3 linked regions of the Macaca mulatta genome follow. The protein of the gene in region 3 purifies or fractionates together with the protein of the main gene of each other region. This does not show direct contact. Links are inferred from orthologs where the notes say so. Each region holds a gene or a part of one and is shown on either strand. Other genes may lie near its edges.

What was found. Proteins that work in one complex are often made in the same cells at the same time.
Region 1: the proteins of RYK (region 3) and PCDH7 purify together in Homo sapiens (affinity purification with mass spectrometry; 3 studies listed by BioGRID and IntAct, with this or other methods). This does not show direct contact. The link is inferred for Macaca mulatta from reciprocal best matches to the Homo sapiens genes RYK and PCDH7.
Region 2: the proteins of RYK (region 3) and NCR3LG1 purify together in Homo sapiens (affinity purification with mass spectrometry; 3 studies listed by BioGRID and IntAct, counting the BioPlex papers as one, with this or other methods). This does not show direct contact. The link is inferred for Macaca mulatta from reciprocal best matches to the Homo sapiens genes RYK and NCR3LG1.

The regions. Positions count from the first base shown.
Region 1 is NC_133410.1:29,848,880-29,853,085, forward strand, and holds the start of PCDH7 (protocadherin-7), read left to right. Parts: upstream 1-1,283; 5' UTR 1,284-2,351; coding exon 2,352-4,206.
Region 2 is NC_133419.1:48,113,499-48,117,783, reverse strand, and holds the start of NCR3LG1 (natural cytotoxicity triggering receptor 3 ligand 1), read left to right. Parts: upstream 1-1,362; 5' UTR 1,363-1,476; coding exon 1,477-1,573; intron 1,574-4,285. UniProt on the Homo sapiens protein: Triggers NCR3-dependent natural killer cell activation.
Region 3 is NC_133407.1:37,290,867-37,295,186, reverse strand, and holds the start of RYK (tyrosine-protein kinase RYK), read left to right. Parts: upstream 1-1,393; 5' UTR 1,394-1,550; coding exon 1,551-1,785; intron 1,786-4,320. UniProt on the Homo sapiens protein: May be a coreceptor along with FZD8 of Wnt proteins, such as WNT1, WNT3, WNT3A and WNT5A. Involved in neuron differentiation, axon guidance, corpus callosum establishment and neurite outgrowth.

The DNA.
Region 1 (4,206 bases), on a different chromosome or scaffold from region 3:
CCCCTCCACCCACCGCCCCCCGCCCCCCCCCCCCCCGCAACCATCCAAAGTCTGAGCTCCCAAAAAAGGATCTTTCTCCCGCTCTCTGGAGTTTGATGTTCTCTCTTCACTACTGCAGCCCGTCACGGTTTTTCAGAACAGAGTGGCTTTCTGGGCTCTTGTGTGTTCCCCAAGACCCCGATAACCATGTCCTAACCAAGATGCTAAATCGCGAACCGGAGACACTTTCCGGGTGGAGGGGGTGGGGGGAGGACGTCGTCTGAGAGAGAGGGAGAAGGAGAAATCTATCCTGACACAGCTCGAAAAGCTCTCACGCGTGAACTGGGCATTAGTTAAGGGAGGAGGAAATTTACCAGCCCGAGGGAGGGAAAACAAGTCCCCCAGAGAAGAAGACGGAGGTACTCGCTGGGGGGCGTTGAGCTTTGGCTTAAAGAGGTCTGGCTGGGATTGGGCACACTTTGAGCGGCCCCTGGAGCTGAGGCTGGGCTTTCCCGAGCGCGGAGGCTGGCTGACGCTCCCTCCCGCCTCCTTACCCCGGGCCCTCCTCCCTCGCTCTCTCCCTGTGTGTAGTTTCGGCGGCTGGGCAGCTACTGCCGCCGCCGCTGCAGCAGCAGCGTCAGGGACAAGCCTGATCCGTGAGCGAGCGAGCTCCCAGCAGCAACCACCACTTTGGGCAACTTGCGGGTTTCCTGCTCGCGGGTAGCGAACGGGAGCTTCCTACTAGCGGTTCAGTGTCTCCGAGCCGCTGCAGCCTGAGTGGCGGCGGGAGCGCCCGCACCAGACTCTCCCAGACGCGAAAGGGACGAGACAACTGCGGAATTCACCAGCCGTGCCAGGGCACTTCCGAGGCCACAAACGACTGGCACTTTTTCTCCCCTTGGCAAACTGGATTTTTTTTTTTTTTTAAAGCTACTTGGCAGCTGTCTCTGACTCCACCTCCCCTTCCACCCCCGCCCCAAAGCCTTTGGCTTTTCTTCGGAAATCCAGACAGAATTGGGCATCTTTGTTAATTGCCGTTGGGGACGCCTAGCCGTGCGCTTTCGCCGGCTAACGTCGCCTGTGCTCCGAGCCTGGTTTGCTCACCTTTGAACTGCAAAGGGATCAAGTTCAGCTCGAGTTCCCTGCATTGGGACTAAGAGGAAGGAGAGAGAGCGTGCAAGAGAGCGAGTGGGAGAGGGGGAAAGGGGAAAGGAGAGGAGGGAGGAGAGAGAGGAGGGAGGAGAGAGAAAGGGAGGGAGGGAGGGGAGGGATCGAGAGAGAGCGGGGAGAGAGAGAGAGAGGCTGCAATCTCCTCCCTGAATCGCGCACAGCGCTGCAGATCCCACTGCTCCGACATGCGGGCCGAATGCAGGTGAGAAAAGGCACGGACTCTGCGGCTGCGAACCCAAACTTGGGCACCGCACGGTGCGCACGGCTCAGCCTTCGCCCCCGCGGGCGAAAGGCTGCTGCGGTTTCAGGCGGCGGCTTCGTGACTAATGACCTTGCGCAGAGTTGTTAAGAAAAAAGAGAAACCCGCGCTCTCCGGGGTGAGAAGGGACTGACTCTCTGGGCGTCTCTGAAGATGGCTCGGGCTTCTCTTTGGCGCGCCGGGGGGACCCGGACGCGGACCGCGCTGTGACGCGAGTAGTCTCCACTGCACCGTGCCCGAAGCGACGTGCCGGGGGATTTTTCATTCTCTATCTGTTGACTGGCTCCCCCGCTGCCTGAGCAGAGTCGGAGTTGAGACTGGCTTGTTGCTGGCCCCAGCGCCTGGTGCAGGAAGCGACTCACGTTTGCCTGGGCGGCCGGAGTCGGAGCAGAGCCTGGGTTTGGAGTGAGTGTCTGGAACGTGAATTGGACTCAACTCGAGTAGCAGCAAAGACCGGCGGGCTGGCAGGCGGGGGAGGCTGCAAGCTCGTTCCCCACCTCTTCCCAGCCCCACTGCCCGTCTGCCGGAGCAGTTCTGGCCCCTTCCGACAGAGCGGGGACGAGAGCCGGGGATTCTCCGCCCGCTGCGGGAATGACTCTGGGTGGGGGGGCGCCGAACCCGCGGCGCGCAGTGTCCCGTGAACTGTGAGTACTGCGACTGAACGGCGGCCGGCAAGCGGGCGATTAGCACCCATTGCATGAATTATGAAACAATAACTTTCGGAAGAAGCAGGAGAAAAAAAAAAGCATCTATCGCTGCCCTCCCACCTGCATTCCCGGCCGACTCTCCACGCCGCTTTTGCCCCCTCCCTCCCCTCTCTCTCGCTCCTTCCTTTCCGGGAGAGGGGAGAGGACTGGGAGGAGGGCAAGCGGCCGGCCCCGGAGGAGGGGGGCGCCGAGGGGGCTGTGGTTAGAAGGAGCAGTAGCAGCAGCAGCAGGAGAAGATGCTGAGGATGCGGACCGCGGGATGGGCGCGCGGCTGGTGCTTGGGCTGTTGCCTCCTCCTGCCGCTCTCGCTCAGCCTGGCGGCCGCCAAGCAGCTCCTCCGGTACCGGCTGGCCGAGGAGGGCCCCGCCGACGTCCGCATCGGCAACGTGGCTTCAGACCTGGGCATCGTGACCGGATCGGGTGAGGTGACTTTCAGCCTGGAGTCCGGCTCCGAGTACCTGAAGATCGACAACCTTACGGGCGAGCTGAGCACGAGCGAGAGGCGCATCGACCGCGAGAAGCTGCCCCAGTGTCAGATGATCTTCGACGAGAACGAGTGCTTCCTGGACTTCGAGGTGTCGGTGATCGGGCCCTCGCAGAGCTGGGTAGACCTGTTTGAGGGTCGGGTCATCGTGCTCGACATCAACGACAACACGCCCACCTTCCCGTCGCCCGTGCTCACGCTCACGGTGGAGGAGAACCGGCCGGTGGGCACACTCTACCTGCTGCCCACCGCCACTGACCGCGACTTTGGCCGCAACGGCATCGAGCGCTACGAGCTGCTCCAGGAGCCCGGAGGCGGCGGCAGCGGCGGCGAGAGCCGGCGCGCCGGGGCGGCCGACAGCGCCCCCTATCCCGGGGGCGGCGGGAACGGCGCGAGCGGCGGCGGCTCGGGAGGCTCCAAGCGGCGGCTGGACGCATCAGAGGGCGGCGGCGGCACCAACCCCGGCGGCCGCAGCAGCGTGTTCGAGCTGCAGGTGGCGGACACCCCGGATGGCGAGAAGCAGCCGCAGCTGATCGTGAAGGGGGCGCTGGACCGCGAGCAGCGCGACTCCTACGAGCTGACCCTGCGGGTGCGCGACGGCGGCGACCCGCCTCGCTCCTCGCAGGCCATCCTACGGGTCCTCATCACCGACGTGAACGACAACAGCCCCCGCTTCGAGAAGAGCGTGTACGAGGCCGACTTAGCTGAGAACAGCGCCCCGGGGACCCCCATCCTGCAACTGCGCGCAGCTGACTTGGACGTGGGGGTCAATGGGCAGATCGAGTACGTGTTCGGGGCGGCCACCGAGTCGGTGAGGCGACTGCTGCGCCTTGACGAGACGTCCGGCTGGCTCAGCGTCCTGCACCGGATCGACCGCGAGGAGGTGAACCAGCTGCGCTTCACGGTCATGGCCCGCGACCGTGGGCAGCCCCCCAAGACCGACAAGGCCACCGTGGTCCTTAACATCAAAGACGAGAATGACAATGTGCCATCCATTGAAATCCGCAAGATTGGGCGCATCCCCCTCAAGGACGGGGTGGCCAACGTAGCCGAGGACGTTCTGGTCGACACCCCCATCGCTCTGGTGCAGGTGTCCGACCGAGACCAAGGCGAGAACGGGGTGGTCACCTGCACCGTGGTGGGCGACGTGCCCTTCCAGCTCAAGCCAGCCAGCGACACCGAGGGCGACCAGAACAAGAAAAAGTACTTTTTGCACACCTCGACCCCTCTGGACTATGAGACCACCCGGGAGTTCAACGTGGTCATCGTGGCGGTGGACTCAGGCAGCCCCAGCCTCTCGAGCAACAACTCCCTGATTGTGAAGGTGGGAGACACGAACGACAACCCGCCTGTGTTCGGCCAGTCGGTGGTGGAGGTTTACTTCCCTGAGAACAACATCCCGGGTGAGAGGGTGGCCACAGTGCTGGCGACAGACGCAGACAGCGGAAAGAACGCTGAGATCGCCTACTCGCTGGACTCCTCTGTGATGGGGATCTTTGCCATCGATCCCGATTCTGGGGACATCCTGGTCAATACGGTGCTGGACCGCGAGCAGACTGACAGGTATGAGTTTAAAGTTAACGCCAAAGACAAAGGCATCCCCGTGC
Region 2 (4,285 bases), on a different chromosome or scaffold from region 3:
AAGGAAAAATGCAGTAGGGTCAATGAGACAAATGGAATGCAGGTTGCTGGGGAAAGAATGCAGGTTGTGCGTTACAAATGCACACACTTTACAGTGCCACTTGGGTTCTGAACTTTGCGGTTAAATTGATTTAAAAACTGGTCTAGAGGTGGTAAAACTTAAACAGCCAATGAAAATATTTGGGTTTGCTTCAGGAGGTCGCAAACCACTTCTTGGTTAGTAGAAATGGGAAATTAAGGGCCACCTTCAGGCGTTTAACTGAATCGTCCTGGGGATTTAATTTGGCTTTCGACTCAATGCTAAGGTTTTGTTGCTTTTGGTTTTTAAAGTAATGTAAGTTTATCGTGCCAACGGTAAGATATCTCTCTGGACGCGTGCACCTGCTCTCGCAATCACTGACTGCGGTCAGCATCCTCCTTAGAGCAGCGCTCCGGGCCACTTGGATCCCGGCCTCAATTTACTAAGCGAACTCAGAGGATGCCCAGAGTCCTGGACTGCAGAGCCGCTCGCGAGAGGCACCGGGGCTGTAACCGCGCAACCTCGTGCCGTGGGCGGGGACGAGGGAGGCTTCTCCCGCCGGTGTGCGCCCTGGCGCGAAAGTGAGGCGCGGGCGGGGCTGGTCACGCGCCTGGCTTCCTGCAGTGCGAACCCTGGAAATCCCGGAGACTTCGCAGTTGCCGAAGGGACCCGAAGAAGTGGGATGTGCAAAAGCGCCGGCTGGAAATCCCGGCTGTGTCTCCGTCAACTCTTCACGCAACAGAGGGCTCCCCCGGCCCTTGGTTTTTACCGGGCCGCCTGGTCCCACTCGGCGAAAAAAATTCCAGAGCTGCTGCCGTGGCGATGGCGTGGAGGGCTGCCTCCTCCGCGTGCGCGGCGCCCCTGCTTCTGTGGTGCGCACTGATGACCGCAGGTAGGGGGCGGCGGCGGCTGGGGTGGGCTGGGGCGGCGGCGGCTGGGGTGGGCTGGGGCGGCGGCGGCTGGGGTGGGCTGGGGCGGAGGCGGCTGGGGTGGGCTGGGGCGGAGGCGCCTGGCGCCAGAGGGTCCTTGCGGTTGGTTCCCTAGCGCCCCTCCAGGGGACCGCGACGTCCTGGGGGCTGGGGGCTCTATTTTCTTTTCTTTTTCTTTTTCTTTTTTTTTTTTTTTTTTGAGACGGAGTGTCGCTCTCGCCCAGGCTGGAGTACGGTGGCGCGACCTCGGCTGACTCCAAGCTCCGCCTCCTGGGTTCACGCCATTCTCCTGCCTCAGCCTCCCGAGTAGCTGGGACTACGGGCGCCCGCTACCACGACCGGCTAATTTTTTGTAGTTTTAGTAGAGACGGGGTTTCACCGTGTTAGCCAAGATGGTCTCGATCTCCTTGACCTCGTGATCCACCCACGTCGGCCTTAAAAAGTGCTGGGATTACAGGCGGGAGCCACCGCGCCGGGCCTGGAGGCTCTATTTTCAAGCGCCCCTCCTTTGTGAGATGCGGAGTCCCCGATGCAACAGGTTGATATTGAAGGCCTGCCCTGTGCAGGGTCGGCACCTGTGCGAGCGGAAACGGTGCTTCCTTGGATGTCGCGCACTCAGTGCCTCGGTAATCTGCTCCTCTCTTGCATCATCCAAGGGGTCGGAGCAGAGAAGAAAATCAGGGAATGGGGAAAATAGGAAAATGATTCACCCGCGTATCAGTGGGTCCTCCTGGCTTTGCTAAGTAAGGTCTTTATTGAGAGAGGGAGGGGAGTGTTTTGATCTTGAGGTGACCTTCAAAAGTTCTCTTACTTTTTTGGGAACTCGTATGGGAATGTTCTGCGTTAACTTAAACAGGATACTACAAGGCTGAAACGCGTATGTAGAGATATTTAAACTCATTTCTAACTAGAAGAATGGCAATTAAACAACAAGATGCTGCTTGACCCTTACTAGGCTGGCCACAATACGCTCCTGGGTACCAGGTGCTGGAGGGGGAATGTAGGAATCCCGGAGGCGCGCTCTGGGCGCCCCAAGTCACTGCAGGTGGAGGCGAGCCGCGTGTGGACCTCACCGTGGAGCGCTGGGCGGCAGCTTCACACCACGCCCTTGCTGCTTGCCGAGCAGCGTGAACGGATGTTGAAGGCAAAGAGCCAAGCAGTGGACATACAATGTAATACCCTTTCCACAGTTTGAGAAACAGAAGATACAGCCTTAAAGAGAACAAAAATGTATGTTAAACACCTTAGAATGACTGCCCAATGGGAGAGGGAAATGAAAATAAAAACGAGGGAATAGCATTTCTATACATTTGCAATGAGCAATGTGAAAATAAGACAGTTCCGAGTGAAGTGTGGGCGGCGACGAAAGCCAAATTTGCGCTGGACTCGGCGCTGGTGGCTGGAAGCGCTTCCACGCCCTCAGTCTGGGTCTCCTCGAGCTCGAAGTGGCGCCTGGGGGCTCCCGCCGCGCCCACCCGGTCCCGGGCCCGGCGCCCCCTCCTCAGGAGCCTCGGGTGCCAGCCACTTTCGTCCGGTCCTCGTCCCCACGGATGCTGGCGGTGGTGGAGAAGGGCCGCGCGGTCTCTGGGAAGCGGAGAGGAAGGAACGCCCTTTGGCTGTGCGGCGGCGCTTTAGTGGCAGCAGCAGCAGCTCCTGGGAGGAAGCTAATTCGGGCTCGTCCAGCCACAAGGAGTGAGGCGACCGCTGCATGACGGTCGGACCCCAGAACCAGGCGTTGGTGCTGGACTTCGGCACCGGAAGACACTGTGAAATTGAAAACCATCGGAAGCTTTCGCCTAACAAATCATTTCCGCCCACAAGAAATCCCTACACCTTAGAATGGAACATCTATTTCCCGGGCTGTTATTCTGTGTGGAAGCAAATTTAAAGTGGTACAAGAAAAAAAAAAATCCAATCAGACAAAGGAATTCGTCAGATTTTAATGCAAGATATTCTAGCCCGTCTTTGTATGAGACTGTCTTTAAAGGTTGTTGATATAGAAAATGTTTTAAAGAACGTTAGGTTTTATTTCAGAAATGAAGTTCAAAAGAGCAATTTGTAAAGCTGTAGTTAACAATCCTCCCTGGTTGGAGGACTCTAGAACGGGAGATTCTCTATGCAGGTTATACCACTAGTTGATTTGAGAAGATAAATGCATAGATGCTTTTCCTTGGAAACAAGACTGCAGAAAATTCCAAGGATCTAGTCCTTGAAAAAGGGGAATGCTCTTAAGCTGTTATTAAGGTACTAAACTCTGTACCTTTAAATGAAAATACATGGAGGTCCGGGGTGAGCGCTTGGGCGCTCTGAAAATAGACGACGTTTCCCAAATTTGCCTTCTAAATTTTGATTTGTTGATTTAAATCTTTTAAATTTATGTAGTCTGGCACTCAGGTTTGTATTCCTTTTAAGCACATGTTAGTGTTTTGGTATTTTCCCCTCCCCCTCCGACCCCCCAATTCTTTTTTTTTTTTTTTTTTTTTTTTTTTGGGTAGTCTCTTTTCATTTGTAAGAGTGACAATAGAACTAGGTGGCCTGGCTATTTCTCTCGTATCCTTGGCTCCTCCATTCTTTGGTTGGCCACCAGGGGGAAGCATACTGTTTTTTGGTTACAGTTGACCCTATCTTCATTTTGTAGGTCAAGTCTGTTTTTGCCTTGATACATAGAACATAAAGCTTGTCACCATGTTTGCCTAATGTATTATTTTTAAAAATAGACTTGCACAAACCTTTGAGTAAGTTGGCAGGTTTTTGGATACATTTTTTGTTAACATTAATTTTGAAAACTTTATTTAGATATGTTGGGTGTGACTAATGAAAGGACATGTTTGATGGCAACAAGGGGAATTCGGTTTCTGACATTTATCTAAATATTGATGTCTAGCTCTGCATTGTTAGTAATGAGTCTGACTTCTTTGGAGTTGCACTCTTCTTTGAAACAGCAAATGTAATATTTTGAACTGTCCTTGCACTTTTTGTTGGATTGGTGTAAGCGTAAACTTGCTGGCAACCTACTGTTCTAAAATAGAAAACATCTAGCCAGTCGCAGTGGCTCATACCTGTAATCCCAACACCTGAGGAGGCAGTGGGAGGATTGCTTGAGCCCAGGAGTTGGAGACCAGCCTGGGCAACTTAGTAAGTCTCCATCTCTACAAAAAATCAAAAAATTAGCTGAGCATGGTGGCATGTGCCTGTAGTCCCAACTACTTGGGAGGCTGAGGCAGGAGGTTCACTTGAGCCTAGGAGGTGGAGGCTGCAATGAGCAGTGATAGCACCACTGCACTCCAGCCTGGGTGACACAGCAAGACCCTATCTCTAAATAAATAAATAGGAAAACA
Region 3 (4,320 bases):
TTCCCAGGGCCTCACTGCAATCGAGCGTGCTGAAGCTGGGCCTAGCGTGAGAGCAGCTGCTCCCCGAGGCACGGGCTCCGCGAGAGCCCTGGGGTCAGGACGGGGGCCTGTCCGCCGGGACGAGGTGTCCCCGGACAGGGCAGGGGCCCTTGGAGCCTCACCAAGAGAGGGGGCACTGGTGCAAGTTTGACCCCGATGGTGGGCGGCTCACAAAAATACATCAGGAGGCCCGGAAGTCCATGCACTGGCCGGCTCCACCGCCTTTAAGTACACGAGGTCTATCTGCAGTTCTTAACCTCTTTGAGGGGACAAGGACTCCCTAGAACAAATGATGACATACCACCTCTCTGTGTGCACTCAAACACACATACAACACACAGAAACATGGACGTGGACACAAATACACACGGAGACACATACACTTCTGCACACAATTTCATATTATTGGAAGGCTGTCGAAGCCTGGTGTGGACCACAGATTAACAACCCCAAAGGCAGGTGGATTATAATGATGCAGAACGATTATTAAAAAATAACAATTTGGCCGGGCGCAGTGGCTCACGCCAGTAATCCCAGCACTTTGGGAGGCTGAGGTCGGTGGATCACGTGAGGTCAGGAGTTCGAGACCAGCCCAGCCAACATGGTGAAACCCCGTCTCTACTAAGAATACAAAAAATTAGGCATGGTTGCGGGCGCCTGTAATCCCAGCTACTCGGGAGGCTGTGGCAGGAGAATCACTTGAACCTAGGAGACAGAGGTTGCAGTGAGCTGAGATTGTGCCAGTGCACTCCACCTTGGGCGACTGAAAAAAGCAAGACTTCTCAAAATAAACAAATGAAAATATGAAAAATAAAATTTTGTAACATGTAAAAATAGGGTTACTAAAGCGTGCTAAGATCTTTCTGGAAAACAAATGTACGTAGTATAAATTCTAATAATAGATACGGATATGATAAAGTTGATCACCGACGGTAAGACAAAGGATGGTTTCTATATAATTTGAGTTTTCCCACTAAACAGGAAAGCATGTTGCTCTTTCGAAACCAGAACGGCCGCATCCAGGCGTTTTCGGGGACCTGGGGCGCCCACTGAGCTGCAGGCGCGGCCGGTGGCTCCAGCCTGGCCCCTCCGTCGGGAAAGGAGGGTTAGACAATAGACAAGCAAAAATTAGACGCGGTGACCGCGTGGGGCGGGACCGGCTCTTGGGGAGAGGGTGACCCGAGCCCTTCGCCCGCCGAGGCACTTTAAAACCCCAACGCGCTGCCCAGCCCGGCCTGCACAGAGAGAACGGTGCGTGCGCGCTCCCGGGGAGGTGGCGGCGCGCACGGGCGCGTCTCCGCGGGCAGCCCCCTACTCCGGACGATGCCGCCGAGGAGGCGGCGGCGGCGGCGGCGCGCTCTGGAGGTCTGAAGCCACTGCTGGCTGCCACGGGCCGGCGGCGCGATGAGCTGGGCAGCCGCCCCCGGCTCGGGGCTGTGAGCGGCTCGGGGCCGGGGGTGGGCGGCGGTGCGGCGGGCGGCAGACGCTCCTCTTCGGCGGCGGCGGCGGCCATGCGCGGGGCGGCGCGGCTGGGGCGGCCGGGCCGGAGTAGCCTCCCGGGGGCCCGCGGCCTGAGGGCCCCGCCGCCGCCGCCGCCGCTGCTGCTTCTGCTGGCGCTGTTGCCGCTACTGCCCGCGCCTGGCGCCGCCGCCGCCCCCGCCCCACGGCCCCCGGAGCTGCAGTCGGCTGCCGCGGGGCCCAGCGTGAGTCTCTACCTGAGCGAGGACGAGGTGCGCCGGCTGATCGGTGAGTGGGGCCGCCGAGGCCGGGGCGGGCAGGTCAGGCCGGCGGGGGCAGCTTCCGGCCGCCGGCGGCTCAGTCTGCGCTCCGTGGACCGCGGGCGAGTGCCCTCCCCGCCCCCCGCGCCCGGATTTGCCTCGCGGCCGGGTCTCTGCCTGCCGTGCTGGCTGGGAGGTGTGGTCCCTGCCCGGTCCCCCGCTCCGGCTCAGCCTTCGTGCTGCCCTCGCTGCCCTGCCGCGATAGACCCACATTCACCCCATCCCATCCTCCTTACTGCCTCCTTAGCCCTTTTCCCTAGAAGAGTCAAGCGCCCTTACAACTTTTCTTCCTTGCTATACGAAGTTTTTTTGACCCTTTCTATGCGTGTCACTCTAGGGTCCTCGATTTTGAATACCTCGAAATTTACGTTTTAGACTGAACTTGCAAACCCTTTGCTGTGGTTTTGATGCCCCAGTAGAGGCCACGGTCTGTGCTTACCCTTTTACAAAAAAAAAAAAAAAAAAGAGAAAGGGGGAGGTTATAAGGGCACCAAATGTTCGTGGCAGCCTCCAAATCTTGGGACGCAGATTTGGAGCATATGCTTAGATTCTAAGCATATTTTTAGTGAATGAATCGCCAGGTAGCAGACCTTTTTAGTTTCAATACCTTTTTGGTTTTTGCATTGGGTGTGTTGGGAGTTTGGACTGATTCTGTACTTCTGGGCCGCTCTCCTACTTTGAATACCTTGAAGGGAAGCAAGAACTTAGTCTTGGGTCGGACTGTGGTTCCATTTACTTGCTTAGCTTTGTTGTTTGGGGAGTTAATTTGAAAAATTGCTGGGGTCTTACGTTAGGACTTTGTGGATTCTGGAAATGACCCTTTAGAGGAAGATCTGACAGGAACGACCCCCCAAAAAGAAAGTCCTTGGTACCTAGACATTTGCATTCTTTTGTTATTATGGCAGTATCTTTATTTCATCTCAAGGTGGTGCTTCTGAGTGTTTGAGGGGAAAAATTATTCTCTGTTGCATCATTTGTCAGTATTATTTTTTTAAGTAATAAGACTTTGTTGAGGTGTGTTGAGATTGACTCAAGGTAGAAATGGAATTACTTATAGCAGACTCTTCAGACACTACATGTACGGATTTGCAGTTTTTAACCAAAGAAGAATGCTGTAAGTCGTGCCATTCTTAATCCTTCTTAGTCTAGTTGAATTAGCTGAATGTAGTTTAGCTGAATTAAAACTGCTAATTGGGGTAATACTTGGAACACAAGACTAAGACTTAGGAAAAATAATACAACACGACTCATGTCACATTAATTTTAGAAATATTAACGTATTGTCCGGGCGCGGTGGCTCACGCCTGTAATCCCAGCACTTTGGGAGGCCGAGGCGGGCGGATCACGAGGTCAGGAGATCGAGACCATCCTGGCTAACACAGTGAGACCCCGTCTCTACTAAAAATACAAAAAAAAAAAAAAAAAAAAAATTAGCCGCGCGTGTTGGCGGGCGCCTGTAGTCCCAGCTACTCCGGAGGCTGAGGCAGGAGAATGGCTTGAACCCGGGAGGCGGAGCTTGCAGTGAGCCGAGATCACGACACTGCACTCCAGCCTGGGCGACAGAGTGACACTCCCCGTCTCACAAAAAGAAAAAAAACATTAACGTATTATGCATGGTTTTGTAAAGGCTTTTTAGTTAAAAGCACTTATATAGCTTGTGAGTTTGTTTACATGGGTAAACAAAGTCAGAGGTGAAGGTAGGGGACAGAGGACAACCAGGGACTGACATTGAATTCTTGCCGTATACCTGCCCCTACATGCTTTATACATGCTTTATACACATAATTTCTTCTAATTTTCTCATGGCCCAGTGAAGTAGGTGGCATTATTCCCATTGTAGAGATGAGGAAAGTGGGATTTTTAAGTAACTTGCTCAAGGTCACACAGTTCATAATTTTTTTTTTTTTAAGACGGAGTCTCGCTCTTGTCGCCCAGGCTGGAGTGCAGTGGGGCCATCTGGGCCCACTGCAACCTCTGCTTCCCGAGTTTAAGCGATTCTCCTGCCTCAGCCTCCCAAGTAGCTGGGATTAGAGGCACGTGCCACCACTCCCGGCTATTTTTTGTATTTTCAGTAGAGACAGCGTTTCACCATGTTGGTCAGGCTGGTCTGGAACTCCTGACCTCGTGATCTGCCCACCTCAGCCTCCCACAGTGCTGGATTACAGGTGTGAGCCACTGCACCTGGCCTAGTTCATATTTTTTTTTAAAAAAGAAACAGTGTTGACATAGGCAGCAAAGTTTTATTGAATGAAATGAAGATATTGTGTATAGAAGTTTGATTATGGCATGGTGGAAAATAAATCATTGCTAATTAGCACTTGAGTTATGTATCTGTTACCTTATTTGGCCTGGAACTAATTTTCTTAGCAATATTTGCAGCAGAGGAAGCTCCTGATTGATGAGCATCCAATTTATGCCCAGAAATACTGTTACTGGGAGGGTAGGAAGCATTGTTTTGATTAACTCCCTTGTCTACCCTGGGGGGCAAGAGAGACTTCTAGTA